2 linked regions of the Struthio camelus genome follow. The protein of the gene in region 2 purifies or fractionates together with the protein of the main gene of each other region. This does not show direct contact. Links are inferred from orthologs where the notes say so. Each region holds a gene or a part of one and is shown on either strand. Other genes may lie near its edges.

Evidence for each region. The genes of interacting proteins can lie anywhere in the genome.
Region 1: the proteins of FBXL5 (region 2) and CIAO2B purify together in Homo sapiens (affinity purification with mass spectrometry; 3 studies listed by BioGRID and IntAct, counting the BioPlex papers as one, with this or other methods). This does not show direct contact. The link is inferred for Struthio camelus from reciprocal best matches to the Homo sapiens genes FBXL5 and CIAO2B.

The regions. Positions count from the first base shown.
Region 1 is NC_090951.1:11,244,660-11,251,789, forward strand, and holds the start of CIAO2B (cytosolic iron-sulfur assembly component 2B), read right to left. Parts: upstream 3,246-7,130; 5' UTR 3,162-3,245; coding exon 3,020-3,161; intron 2,914-3,019; coding exon 2,834-2,913; intron 2,596-2,833; coding exon 2,470-2,595; intron 1,904-2,469; coding exon 1,858-1,903; intron 1,321-1,857; coding exon 1,223-1,320; 3' UTR 1-1,222.
Region 2 is NC_090945.1:70,558,984-70,567,042, reverse strand, and holds the start of FBXL5 (F-box/LRR-repeat protein 5), read right to left. Parts: upstream 3,075-8,059; 5' UTR 3,002-3,074; coding exon 2,870-3,001; intron 1-2,869. Other genes in the region: ADP-ribosyl cyclase/cyclic ADP-ribose hydrolase 2, read left to right, coding at 7,085-7,251.

The DNA of each region.
Region 1 (7,130 bases), on a different chromosome or scaffold from region 2:
TTAGAGTGGAGTATCAGGCTGTGGCTTACGTAATCATAAGGTTCACCATTTTTAAAAGGTACTCCGAGATCCTTCAAGAGAAACGACTACTAAAAGGTAAAGCGTTATACATTGTGCTGATCCTGTCTACTTTGAAAAAAGTATACTAGTTACTCACTTTCTAGCTAATTGCTGATGGTGAAGGTACTTGATAATTGATACATAACACTGCATGCATGTAGCAACCAAAAAACTTTATTGGTCTATTTCTTTAACAGTCTGTTTTTTTTTTTCTTTTTTTTTTTTTTCCTTTCATGTGGTCTAGGATTAAAAACATCTCTTAAAGTTAATCATGGAAATCTAAATGAATTTTTCTATTGTCAATTTCCACCACAGACAACAGTTTAGTAAGTGCCGTATTTTCCAGCCCAGTAACATGGGATAAGTATTAGTACTAAATCTGAATATATCCTTAAAGCAAAACGTATGATTTAGCTGTCAAACTTTACCAGGAAAGTCTTCAGCAGGGAGTAGCTGGACTGTTCATACTGAAAACTATGCATAACTCCCTCCTAGGCTGTGACAGGTGCAGAAAAAAAAAATCTACCTCAGAAATAGAACTTCTGGAAATTACTTACCAGAAGTAATGAGTAGTTAAAAATAATCACATTTCATACAGGTATAGAGAGCCCTCCCTCTTTGGCAAATCCAAGTCAATATCATAAAAAACAAATAGATGATTTAGAAGTGTTTACATTTTTTTGCTACTGGCATGTTATGTCTTTGCACGCATTGACTTGTAAAAATCTCAATGTTTGAAGCTAAAATTATATTAACAGTCCAAAATAATCATATGAATGGAAAGATTTTAACTGCTAATTTGCTTGGTCAATGTGTAAAACCCACTTCTAAAATGCAGTTCATAACTAATCTTTGGTTTAGGATGGTCAGAATTCCATTAAAACCAAGTTCAAACAGATCTTTCTAAAGATATGTCCAGAAAAATCCTACTCTGCTTGAGCTAATAAACTTAAAAAGTCAATATTCATAATACTTGTGTACCTGCCTGTAAGCTAATTTCCTACATATTAATTTTTGTAGAAGTAATGAAACATTTCTTTAAGAAAATCCAAGTCCCTTTATTTTGCTTATAGATACATAGATAAAGAAACACTTGCATCACCACTTATATACAAAATTAATTTAACAAAAGCATAATACCAAAGATTTCCTCATCAGGCAATTATGATCGAGCAGACAAGCACTGATTCACCACCTCCAGTAAGTGAGAGTTTTCCAAAGCAGCTGCTACACGTTCTTTATCAGCAAGCTGTTTATTAACTGTTCAGGGAAAAAAAATATATATATAAAACTTGTCAAAACATTGGTATATAATGTCTTTTTAAAAACATTATACGTTGAGACTGATAATCACACTGTTGCTATGATACTCAGGTAGACTTGTAATTCTGCAGATGCTGAGCACACTACAGAGTTGTAATATAAAGTCAAAGCTACCATATTATCACAAGTTAAACAAGGAGGCTATTTATGATTCACCAGCAGTGAGCTATGCATGTATAGCTGTAATAAGAAATTTACCCTCAGCTTCTGCTCATTTTCTGAGCCCTCCATAATGCAGGCAAATTGGGGACTATTTGAGAACGCAAACTGTCTGAGGAAACGTTTCAGGTAAGGTGCATGACATATCTAAGTTTTATTATTATGCATTCTGGTTCTGTAACATCTGGTGGAAGGGGCTGTGTGTGAAGTCCAGATACTCAACAGCTGCTCTGCAGACGCAAGAGTATCTCTCACTCTAATTTGCAAGATTAAAAGTGTAAAGAAAAACACACAACAAAGCACTAAAAAGCTCACCTGCATGCTCAGAGGCGTGTGTTCCTGGTGTTATATGAACATCCACCTTAAAAGGAGAAAAAGAGTCACAAAAGAAGAAGAGAGAGGACAAGCCAACAACACACCGGAAGCTCGGACTCAAATAATTAAACAAGGAAAACAAGACAATTAAAAACACACACACACGTTCTTGTCAAAGCCAGTGATTGTATATAGCAAAACAAAACAAAGTCTAAAATCTGGATTCCAGGCAAAAGCCTGCACTGCATGCTGCGCTCTGATCTGCTTTACGCCTCCTTCAGGCAGCTGCGTAAAACACAGGCCTCTAATCCCCATTCATAAAAGTGAGATTCTCACCCTTAAGGAGCTAGGGTGCCACAAAGAACTAAATGTCATTCCCCATCGTGCTCCTGTTTGCCTTTGACTCGACCTTCAGAGAGCAGGCATTCTGTATCCACTCTTTAGTTTAGTGCCTTCTGATTCTTGTAGTGTTTCCCTTCCCCCATAATATGAGGAGATGAAGAAAAGCTCTAGTTAGTTTTCACTTTAATTTGCTTTTCACTTAAAGTTAGTTGTCAGTTTTTTAAAAACACACCGCCTTCTTCTGCTTTCTGGACTGATTCTATTACTCACCTTAAATCTCTCAGGCAGAGATCTAATCAGTTTTACTTTTATGGACAGGCCAATTAATGTCGCCATGCTGCAGTGAGGAATCGTGGGTGTAAACTCCACTGCTACGGTACTTTCAGCGTCATTCACCTGTCGAAAAGCAAACACTCTCTATGTACAAAACTCACTGACCGTATCACAAGCCAGCAGCAGGCACTGCGTGTGAAACGCAGCTTGCAGCTCCGCTCTGCTGCTCATCGTTTTCCTCCTTGTCATTTTCATACGTTACGGTTGAGCGAAGCACAAGTCTACGCTAACTCTCCTTTCACGGCCACGGGAACACGGAAACTAAGCCGCGGCGTTTGGACAAGCCTGGCAGAGCACTCGCCTTGACGCGGACCTGCTCCACGACGTTCAGCTCCTCCAGGGTGAGCGGGTGCTCGGGGTCGTTGATGGAGCGGATGAGATGTGCCAGGCTGAGGAAAACGCGCTGCGGGCGGCTGCGCCACCGGCCGCCGCCCCGGCCCCCCCCACCCCCAACCCCGGCCCGGCCCTCCCTGCCCCGGCAGGATATCGAAGATCTCGCGGTCGTCGATGGAGTCGGGCAGCTCGTCGTCCTCCTCCCGCGCCGTCACCGGCCGCTCCCCCGAGCGGCGGTAGATGAGGGGGTTGGCGTTCTCCAGCGGCGCCGCGCCGCCGCCGCCCGGGCCCACCATGGCCGCCGGCAGCTCTGCGCCGCGAGGCGGGCGGCCCTTCCGGCGCGGCGCGCCGCCGGCGGAAGGAGCCCGGACGCGCTTCGGCGCCGCACCGCGCGCGCGGGGCCGTTGGCGATTGGCCGTTGGCCGCGGGGGGAGGGGGCAGAGGAGGAAGCTGAGGCGCCTGAGGTGCGGGTGGCGGTTCCCTCTGCGGGCGGGCGGGTGGCGGCCCTCCGTGACCTCCGCCGTTGTCGCTCGCCGCTTTTGTAGTAGGGATGCGCGTCGCGGGAGTCGGAGGTGAATTTAGAAGTGGGTTTTTTTTGCCGCGGTTTTGTTCAGCTGTCGAGAGACAGAGGTAGCACCTCGTCTCTGGCCGTGGAAGTGGAGCGTTAAAGGGCGTATTGGTGAGCTGGGAGGCCGCGTGCAGTGACTTAAGTGTTGCCTGGCGTTAAACATAAGGTCTGAGGGGGGAAAGGGAATGACTTCGTTCCAGTCGGTGGCTCTCTAAAGTTTTTGTTTGAGCGCCTTTGCTGTTTACTTAGTGCTTGCGAAGACAGGTAAACTAAACAGCGTTTTAAATGCAAAATGTTATTGATTAAGGTGATTTCTTTTATCGTGTAGATAATTTGAAAAGTCAAGCTGTGTATAGTAGTAAATATGACAAACTGTTAAATAAACTGAAGTGATAAAGTGAATGTAATGATGCTTTATGTTTTGGCTTTATAGACCCCTTTATAATAGGGTTAAAGCTTTTACTCCTGCATAAACATCTTGTATGCAGTCATCTGGGTCATATGTTTGTTCCTCTTTGCAAAAAAATGATCCCCATAGGGTTTTTTGAGTAATTTGTTTTATTACTTTGTGCTTAAGTGACACATCTGTCCTACTGTATCAAGTCATCGTACATGTAAGCCACTACATTTTATTTTTTATGTAAGAAAAACATTAATGTAGTCCTCAGGCTGAGTGAGGTAATTTCCCTTTTGGTTAATTAGAAATAAAAATAATTTGAAAGGAATTGAGATTTACTGCTTCGAAAGATTTAGTGTTTTGAAGGAAAGTCACATATTGTGGTTCTGTTGTTTAAAAGTACTTTACAGAAATTGCAGTTAATGCTGTTGTGCATGACGCCTGCATGGAGTCTGGTGAGAACGGTGCTGCCCCAGCAGATTCAGTATGCTGCTTGTTGCACTACACCACTGCAGACAGAAACAAATGCTGTTGCATGGGCTGAAAGTTGGACAGCGATGCGTTTTATAGCAGCTCTCCAGAGCTGGAAGGCACTTTTGTGAGCTAGAGGTGAGAGATACCGAGCCTGGGATCTGCTTTTAGGTTTTTTGAAAACCATATGTCACTTTTACAGATTATATGACGGAATACCAGGATCTTTTCAGTTAGCACTATGGTCTGTATACCAGGTTTTATTCCACCAACTAGCTGATCAGCTAGAATTCCTGCTACGTGATGAAATTTTGGGGTATAATATCCTCATAGTGAGGAGGAATTGGAAATAATATTTGTATACTACTTCAGAAATTGTTGCTTGTATAATGACTGTGAGGTGGGTTTATTCCTCCAGACAGCTTTGAATTCTTGTGATGTAGCAGATAAAAATATTATTTGCCATTTGCTCTTGAGGACTTTTGCTGCAGAAGCTGCCAAAATCACCCCACTTAACCTGTTTCTGTAGAAGTTATAGATTGTTTTAGAGAGTCATCAGCAACTTTTGTTTGACAGAAGGATGCAAATATTAGGAAAAAAATATGCTACAATAAGCTTATCCTACAAAAGAAAAATTTTGGCATTCTTTCCTGTGGGTTCCCTGTCAAAGAAGTCCTCCAAGAATTATGCCAAGAAGTTCCACAGGAACCTGGGTTTTCTGTGGTGATAACACAAACTATATCATGTAACTTTACCGTTATCAGTGTCTCATGGCTCGTCTCTTAGAGAAAGAGAGTCATAAGGAACAACAGATTCAGTACTAGGCACATTCACAAGTATTTCACCTCGCTCAAAATAACCTTGACATAGACCTGAGGTATTACCAAAGCTCTAGGTTGAAATTCCTAGGGGTTTGGTAGAGCTGCCTGTTATCTTTATTTAATGTGCTCCTATTTTTGGTACTGGATTCTATAAACTTCCTGCAGAGCTGAGGGTGTATGTTACAGTAGGGGAAATCTTGATGTGTTGCATTCTCCTTGCAGACATTAAATGCGTTTTGATGGTGCTTCTTTGGCCTACTAGTAGCAGACGGAGAAAACATTCATTTAGGAACTCTCTGAGGGTTATGTGCAAAATCGGATGGAGTATGTGGAAATTAGAACCTGTGGATTTCCCAGTGTAATAGTTCTCTTACGTGCATCCTGTAGCTCACAGCTACTCTGCACCTACGTTCTGACAGCGATTTTGGCAAAGAAGGGAAAAAGCTGAGAGTCACATACTCAAAAGTGTTCACAGACCTGTCCTACACTAAAGCCAGAACAGGAGTGTAGGAATGTCCATGTGGTTCATGCATTCATGAACACTGGCAAATAAAACTGAACATATCTGTAGTGATTTACGTTGTTTTTTATACTCTTGATTCCTTTGATTTGATTTTGTCAACAGACAAATTACTGTCCTTGTATATGGAACCCATTAAGTCAATAGGATTTTTCAAAATACCTGCTTCCATCGTTTAGGTGAGGTGAGTCAAGACAAACTAGCAAGTACAAGAATGAACTGAAATGGTTTTTCTTGACCAGTCTGTGCAGTTTATTTCTAATATAAGTATATCCAGAGATCACGTGAGCCACTTTTTACAAAAATATACTGATTTCTTATCAATTTGTTGTGTAGGGCATGAAAGCTCAAATCCAGAGGTGACTAGCAAAATATGCAGTTTCAAGGACGATAGAACAGCATAAAGGGAACAGATAGGATTGTGAATGTCTTCTTGGGGTACCTGCTGCAAAATCACCAGCTGGATTCTGGAGATTTCCTTCAGTGCAACCACCTGAACTGTGGAGCAGTTAGAGAGACTCCGTTTCGTACCTGCAAGCATAAGATAATTCTTTATAGTAGCTCTTATATTCTGTTTGCTAAATTGCAAAATCAATACATGCTTGCTTTACTGAGGTTATGTTAAAATGTGTAAGAGACTGAAGGAGTCCTAAAATCCCTCTGCTATTTGTCCTATGAATTCAGTTGTTTCATCCTCTTAAAAAAAAAAGCTCAGAAATGATCAAAAGTTTTAAAAATCTATTAATAATTTTCATGATTTTTTAATATGCAATGTAATAAATAAGTTTAATTATTCATGGATGATATTGGTATTTTTACTGGTGTGGTCCTTTTAAGTCCTAGTTATAGATTTGATTGTGTGAGGTACTGTATGAGCAAGATGGCCCTTGCTTCCAAGTGCTCACATAAAAGATAAATACAGCGTGTAGAGTATAGAAAGATACACAGCATCATTCAGAACAATAGCTGATAGTCTCCATACTGACAGACAAGTCAGTGTCAAGTCTTTTTGGAGAAAATATGACAAATAAGATATTAATTATAGTGATTTTACAAATTTTGATCAGCAGCCTTACCACCGCAGCCTGTGTTCCAAACACATAACAAATCCCATAAGGAATGGAGTAAAAAGTACGTGTTTGTAAGCTAGCATCGTGGTTTTGGAAGCAATGACAGTCTCTTGGTAGTGAATGAGAGATAATACATCAAGGATAGTCTTTGCAGTTGCCTTGAAAGTAAGGTAAAATAGTTTATTTGACGGCATAAGGAATGAGGGGACAGATGACGTTTTCCTCCAGTTCATGACTTCTCAGGCTCAATGAAAGGTTAAGACACTCTAGTCAGAAAAACAATATTTCTCACTGTAGCCTTAGGCAACATATTAAGTGGAAGGTGATCAACACAGCCTCTTGCATAACAATACTTTTATGTTTCAGTTGCTTCTGATCTCTCTTCAGAAATAGTGCAATAGTTTGGATATCGTTTGTG
Region 2 (8,059 bases):
AAGGAAAATTTTGAGTGCTGCCAGAAACAATTCACAGATAAGCATAGGGTTACAGTGAGGCATAAAGTGAATACGGTGCTGTTAAAAATAAATAAATAAACAGGGGGGGAAAAAAAAGAAGCTCTATTCAACATCAACAGTGTCATGTTTTGCACAACGGATTTCAAGAAAATCTAGACAAAATTAGGCTGAGGTTTCACAGCAGCTGAAGCCAACCTAGTTGCCGGGCTGTCACAGTCCCACCCTCCAGCTCCCATTGGCTTCAGTACTCATCTGACTAGTGCTTGCTGGTGAGCAGAAAAACTACCACCTAAAAAAAAAAAAAAAAGTAAAAAAAGTTCTCTGCCAATTACAGCCTTTGTGAGTCACTTAACATGCTGATGGGAGGAAGGAAGGGCCAATAATCATGACAGCAGCAGTTAGATGGCTTAGATTGTCACAAAACTGCAGTTTAGCAGTCCTGACAAAAGCAACAAGAACACCAAGAGGCACAGAACGCATCACCCATGTGGTAAAGTTGAATGAATCTGTTCACTTAGTCCAAAAAGCAGATCAAGATGGAGGACAGGGCTACAATTTGCAAATAAGCAGAAGACTCTCCTGAAAACAAACAGCCATTCACTGGAGATAGGAAAAAGAAATCAGCTCTATTAATAAATAGTATGGATGATGTTAGACATTAGGAAAAAAAATTTTACTCCAAAGACCGTCTATAGGAATAGTTATTCCTATTATGTAAGTAAAGGCACTGCATACAACGGTCCTAAAATGCCATTCAAGTACACAGAAAACGTATGGTAAGATCTTTGCATCAAGACAGTTACTGAACTTTTAAATTGTTGCTAGCAGTCAAACATCTTACACTTCCGATTTACTCTTCTGTCTCATATGAGGTCTTAGAAGAACAATCTAAACTTTATCTCAGTCCTAAAGCATCACTGGAGTACCTCTGCCTTTTACTCATCCTAACCTTATAACCGATTCCCTGAAAAGCATAGATGCACCAGTTTCACCCCTACTAACAATTGGTGGAATTTAGTAAGAGGAGGCACTAACAGATGGCAACTATATTACAACGTACAGGGAACATTAGCAGCAGCAGGTACACATGTAGTTGAAATTAAAGACTCCTCAAGGATTCACTAAATTGATAAAGAGCATAGCTTCGCGGATTATAATTGCCATGTAAGCAGAAATACAGTCTGAGCTAACTACAACATCTTAATCACACAAGAAGGAAAGTTCAGAGAAATTTTTCTGATATAAAGCTATCGTGACTGAAATACAAAGGTCACGAGCCAGGCACAGACTCCAAACTCTGTAACAGGACCAGAGAATGTAGGATTAAGTACTATAAATCCTCCCTGCTTACATAAAAAACCCATCAAGGATTCATTTGTGGTTATGCTTGTTTAAAAGAAGAAAAGAAAGTTAGCACGCTCTTGTCTACAATTGAAAAAAAAAAAAAAAGAGAGCGTATGCTCATAGCAGACTGGATGGTTTTAATCAAATTTTGCCAATCTAATAAATTCGGTCAAAACTTTGTGGGAGGTTCAATAAGAGTGACAGAAATGCATCTCGGGAACAAAAAACCAAAAACAGTAGTAAATGACTAGAAGATCTGGAGGTTGAAAACTTGCTCAACTACTGTTAACAATGCTAGCAGGGCTGCTAGTGGGAAAAAAAAGTCGCAGCCTTTTTCAGGTGTTTCTTTCCCTTTCTGCAATATCCCCTCTCTTAAGGCTTCACAAGTTTTCATGCAGCCACAGATTGCAAAATTAACTTAACTGCAAACACACTTGCAAAAACGACTTACAGTGAAATTACAGAAGACAGCTAGATCTGGTCAGACATTGCTAAATGGTAACACTCTCATCTTTTTCTTCCCCTGATTTTCTCTGCCCAATTCAAACAGGCTCACAAAAAGGGGTCCGGTGAGCACCAGACATTGGGGAAATAGGGGAAGGGGGGACTCCCCCAGCCTGTTGGCAGCTGTTACGCTGTCTCTCATGCAACTTCACACTCCTTTTTGACGCTTGCTAAAACGACTCCGGTTCCCCCACAGCCGTTTATGCCCACAGAGGGGGGAGGCACTACTTTCAGTTTGCGTGCTGGCTTTCAAGTGTTTCCCTGAAACCCTTCAGTTCTGCTTGAACGTGCTGCAGTGAAGTTTGCCTTTCAGGTGACACACCAGCTCGGATTACTCACTGCCCTGATGCAAGAACGGAAGTTATTTTTGCAACATTATTTAAAAACCAAAACTTCCTTAGCGTACCCTTCAGGTGCTCACCAATTAAACGCTGTACTTTAAAACGCAAACAAACGTTGCTCCTCACAGACCGTTAACGAGCGCACTGCCCACGACCGGTGTCCGGCGGTGCTGCCGGGCACCGGGCAATTTACAGGAAAAAAAAAAAAAAAAGCACCAAAACACACCAAAACACCACCAGAGGTTTGTTTACCCCCTGCCCCCCGCTCCACCCCGGCACCCCCGGCCGCCTCGGGGGTCCGCCCCGCCCGGGGCTGCGCAGGCCGCGGCCCCACCTCCAGGAAGGGGCAGCCGGGGTGGGCGCCGGCCCCGCTCCCAGCCCGGCGGGGGAAGGAGCGCGGCAGGCGCGGTCCCGCGGCGGAGGGAGCGCTGCTGCCTCACGGGCAAGGCCACCAAACGCGGCCGGGGCCGGGACCGGGCAGAGCGGGGCGCGGGGAAGGCGGCTCCGGCGGCCGGGGCGCCCCGCGGCAGCGGCGGGGGGAGCCGGGGCCGGGGCCGGCGCGGGGCGCGCTGACAGCTGCGCACTACGCGAAATCCTCCCTCGCCCCTCCGGCGGAGCGAGCGGAGCGGGGCAGGGGCGGCCGCGGCGCGGCCCGCTACCTTGTCGCAGTAGAGCCCCACGAGCTGCTTCATCCGCCAGTGGGGCGCCGAGAAGACGTCCACCTCCTCGGGGAAGGGAGCCATGTTCTCCCCATAGAGCCTCGCCGCGGCCGGCACTGGCGGCGGCAACATGCGCGCTGCGCATGCGCGGCACGGCGCGGAGGGCGCCCCGCCGGCCCGGGCGCCACGTGACAGGGGCCGCCCCGCGAGCGCCGCCGCGGCTCAGGCGGCGCCGCCCGGCGCCCCGCCGCGCGCATGCGCATGCCAGGCTCGGCGAGCCCTGCGGCGCCCTGGGAGGCCGCTGCCCTCGCCCGCCTCCCGCCGGGGCCGCGGCGCTGTGTCAGCAACAACGCGCCTCCGCCATCGGCCTCCTGCCGCGCCCAGCTCCTTCCCGCCGAGCGTGGGCGGCAGCAGGCTGGATGCCAGAGGCCCCCGGCAGGCAGGAGCGAGGGAGCGCGTCGGGGCGGCGCCCGGAGGCTGCAGGCCGACGGGCCCGGGCCTGTCCCCTGCCGTGGCGCAAGCGGCCCGGCTCCGCCGCCGCCGCGGCTGCGTGTGGCCGGGGGGCCCGAGGGCCCGGCCCCCCAAAACCCCGCGCGGTGCTGAGCAGAGTGCCCCGGCCGGGGGGCCCGGGCTGCCGTACCCGCCAAGCGCTGCCTGTGTTTAACGTCCGAGGGGGGAAGGGGCAGGGGCGCTGCCCTTCGGGGTTCGTCCCCCCCTAAAACGCCTCGAAAGATCCAGGAATCCTTAGCGGCCTTGAGATTACAGGTTAGGTTAGCAAAATGAAGCTGTAACGCTGTCCACCCACATGTCCACGTGTTATAAATCACCCCGCCCCCAAATTGCCAAAGATACAGTAAATGCAGAAGTTCCTGACTGAAAACTAGACAAAATCCAAGTTGTATATCTTAAACAGATTAAAAGCTGGTGAGTTAACAAATGTGAAAAAATTAGTTATAAACAGATGGAAATATTTTGAGCAAAGGCCTGCAGTACTTATTTTTAGTAAGTGTTCCTCAACATAGTAATGCTTTGGAATAAAATATGAAATTATTGCTAGTAAAATTAGTAGATAATTTAAGAAGAACACATCACATGATCAAAGTTATCTAGATCGTCTAGTACTGAGCAATCTTTCTACTGACGGAAATGAGGCTTGAGCAATTGCAGTGTTGGGTGCTTCCTTTTCCATCCACCCTTTCTTCCTCCCAGAAACTTCTGAACCTGTTGGCCTACTTAATCATATTTGACAAAGGTTTACAAATCTTAAAGGAATTTAGATTTGTGCAACTTTGGGGAAAATCAGCAGCTATGTATGAGAGAGGGAAAGGAAGGCAAAACACAGGTATGATACAGCCGGCCAGCCAGTACATGGTTGCATTTACTGCTTGACCAGTTACTGCTTGACCAGTAAAGACAATTCTGGCTCTGCACTACCCCCAGTACCCACCATTTCTTGCACAGTGAGTATAGCAGCAGACAAGTGGGAGAGGGAGGGTTAGTGCTCTAAGTAGGATTTACGATTGAGATTTATGACAGAGATGCAAGCCCTCAAGAAACAGTGTTTGGTTAAGTCTGTTGCTTACAGAAGAGCTTGTTAATGCAGGCAAATTTAAGGTCATATTTCCAACCGTAAAGCTTGAAATCCTACAGAACTGGGGTCAGTCTGCCAGCAGGCCATGCCTGAGTAATACGGGAGATTAATGCTCCCAGCTGTTACTCCCTTCTTCTGCTGGAAGTTGCCGCTCTCATCTGGTAGAAATAACAAGAGAGAACATGTCCGATCCTCATCCTCCAAGGGTTCAGAATATAAACATATGCTAAATTTGATTTTGAGTTAATATGCAGTTTGTGAATCGGAGTATCTCCAGCGCAGATATGCTGCTGGCCTTGCTGACTCTGCTTCATGGGCAGTAACCTCTTGTAGGAGAGGTGGACAGACAGCTAGGGGCAGTGATCTACATCCAGCATGAAGTGCCAAAGCTTGGGAGGCAAGCTGGACAGCCAATCATGGCACTGAAGTACAGTACTACTAAAGTAAGTGCCTAATAATGAGATTAAAAAATTGAATTTTTCATGGACAAGTTTAAGAGGCGACTTGATCATGGTCTATAAGGATTTACATGGAGAGACTATTTCTGTTTTGAGTAACATAACAGAAAAGGACATCATGAGATCCAGTGATGGGAAGCTAAAGGTAGACAAGTTCAGACTTGATGCTTAAACCATAAGGCTATCCAACTGTTGGAACAATTTCCCTGGCAATGTGTTAGATTAGCCATCACACAAAATATTTTAATCAAATTTGCGTAAGAACGTGCATTAAAGATGGCTGTACTGAGTCAGATCAGAGACCCACGTAGCCTAATGCTGTGTTTCTCAAAGTGGCCATTGAGGAAAGGAAAGTCAATAGAGCTTGAGATGGGGATCCCAGCAACCGTTGGATATATTTCCATTCCCTCTGGAATGGCATGACATGTCATGTCTTCTTGCAGAATACCACTGAGCAGCATCCACATCTTTCCAGAGTTGGCGAGTCCGAACTTGGTGTGTCCTTGCAGAAAAGCCGTTCCAAAACTCTATTCATTTTTATGTCATTCTAATGCACTGTATACTTTACTTAGACGTTTCAGTCTTGATGCAAAAATCAGTGAAAATTTCTGTCTTATTCTGTACAGAGCATCACATGAGTGATGCCTCTGGTTTTTCTTAGTCGTGAAATGACTGGGCAAGACTTGACTGCAGCGAAGTTAATAACAAAAATCATTCATTGAGTTCCATGGATGATTGAAAGCCTCTAAGCCCAAACCTGAAGCAGTGAACTTGAAACCATTTGGTTAATATCCTTGTCCCTGATCAACATGGCCATCATGTTTCACAGATGTCAAAAAGGAAATATGGAGAAAATGCATCACAAAAGTAACTGAAATGAAGTACAGCATTTGCTGTGTCTCAAGCATATCAAACACAACATGGCACATCTGTTGCAGGATAACTCTGGCACTCCTAAAAAGATGCTGCAGATAACAAATCAACTTGTTATATCACATTTATAGGAGAAATCCATCATCAGCAATTTACTCAACAATTAGCAAGATTCTGCCTACAGCAAAATCCATCAGCTGAGTACTGGTGCACCCAGGTTAGCATAACACTATATAAATAAAGACATAATTAATAAAGATATATGTATTCACTGAGGCATGAGGACTATTTAATACAATAAAAGGAATCAGCACATTTCTCAGAAATGTGAATCCATAGACAAATTACGCTCCGGTTGAAAAGAGAAGTTTTTTAAAAAGGGGTGGAAAAAAAGTAGTTTGGTTGTTTTTCCCAGCGGTGTATACAACAGAAGATTTACAGTGACGGCTGGATTAATTTATCCCATTTGATGATCTAACAAAGTACTTGGAGAGGAGAAGCTGGAGGGAAAATAAACATAAGTGGAAGTTGAAGAGATTTCTTCAATGCACAGGAAGCATACCTTAATCCTTTTGGTTCTCATTATGATTTATTCCTGTTTGCAAGACACTTTTGTTCGCTAAGAATAGTTTAAAACTTGTCATCACGCCAAAATTTTGCTGCCAGTATCCAGGGGAAAAATAGAAGAGCTGACCACTGTTACCCCTATCTGCGATGCAAGATAACGTGAAAATCTGGCTTTTTATGAATGCGGACTTGCATATTTCATTTTCTTCTTGATATGTATTTCAGCCTTTTTTTCAGCCTTTAGAGAAATATATGCAAAAAGGGTAGCACTTTTTTAACATTAAATGAAAGTACTTTTAAGCTTGTTGCTTGCAAGCACTTGCGATGTTTTAGCATTTAAGATTGCAATGAGTATTCAGCAAGCCTAAGGCATTGTAAATAACACTGAAATGGGAAGTGTTTTTTCTTTTACAAAAATATGTTGTAATTCCGTCTAGTTATCACCAGGTGGCAACCTCTTGATCTAAAAACTACGTTTTTCCGAAGCTGAGAACATTTAAATTTAAGGAAGTGATGTATCCTTGTGCTGCAATCATTCCAGGAAACAGTTAGATTACATTCTCCAGCAAAGTTTAGATTTCCGTGTAACTTTGTCATTTGCGTACAGAGCTACTGCCTGTTTTGAAAATATTACCTGTTAAACCTTCTGTTTTCCATTTAAATTGTATCATTTAACTCTCCTTTTTAATCTTTTTTTTAAAGAACTTGGGTTGTCAAGAATTCATAATGAGCAGCTTTTTTTTCTCTCTCTTACTTGTCTCTCTTCTGTTTATGAAAAGCTTTTCTGAAGGCCAAGGACATAAATGGAAAGGTGAAGGTACAACACAAAACCTGGAAAGCGTTGTCATTGGAAGGTGTTATGAGTACACTAGAATTGTGAATCCTTCTGTTGGGTAAGTTCTTGCTTGTTTCTGAATTCGTTTTTATGTTATCTAGAATATGTTTACTAAACAGAAGCCTGATATTTCACTCCCGGCCATGAGAGCTGACCTACTGAAGCCGACATGCTTGTCCAGGAACAAAAAATGAGCTTTGATAAATGTAATAATGATAACAGTAGCATAAATAAGGTAAGACTTCTACTGCTTCAACTTTTTTATTTCACATTTTCCCCTTGTATTATAGGGTTCTACAAGGAAAACAGGGCACAAAAATTGTGGGTATGGTATTTCTAATACACCAAATCTACTACACGCATACAGTAAGTGCAGCGCTCCTAGGAAGACCAATTTCCCTTTGTCAGGTCCCTTAAGAGGGCCACACTTTATAGCTGTCCTGTGCTACTGAAAGAATCTGTTTAGCTCCTCCACCGGCGAAAGCAGGCGCTGCTGAAGTAGTAGCTGTAAACTTTCATTGTCTGTGTTAATCAGACAGTACTGGGTGGCAAGTCCCCCACTTTGGTAAGAGGGTCATGTTTTCCGTCTTTCTTGCATTGTTTGGGCTTTAGTAAAAAGGGGAATGCTAAAAAGACATTCTTGAATTCAGCCCTTTCTCCTGGCACCAACATTTTTCTGGATAGCTTGAAGTAGTATTTGCAGAGAGGGCCTAGCTTGGTTTCTGTGGCACAGGATTGCAGCCTTAAACAAAGTCAGATTCTTTTGCATAATAACGGCAAGTGTCACCACCTTGCCGCAACCTCCCATTTTCAGTTCCTGCTGCAAAACAGGAAGATACAAGGACCTCTCATGAAAACAGTTTTAT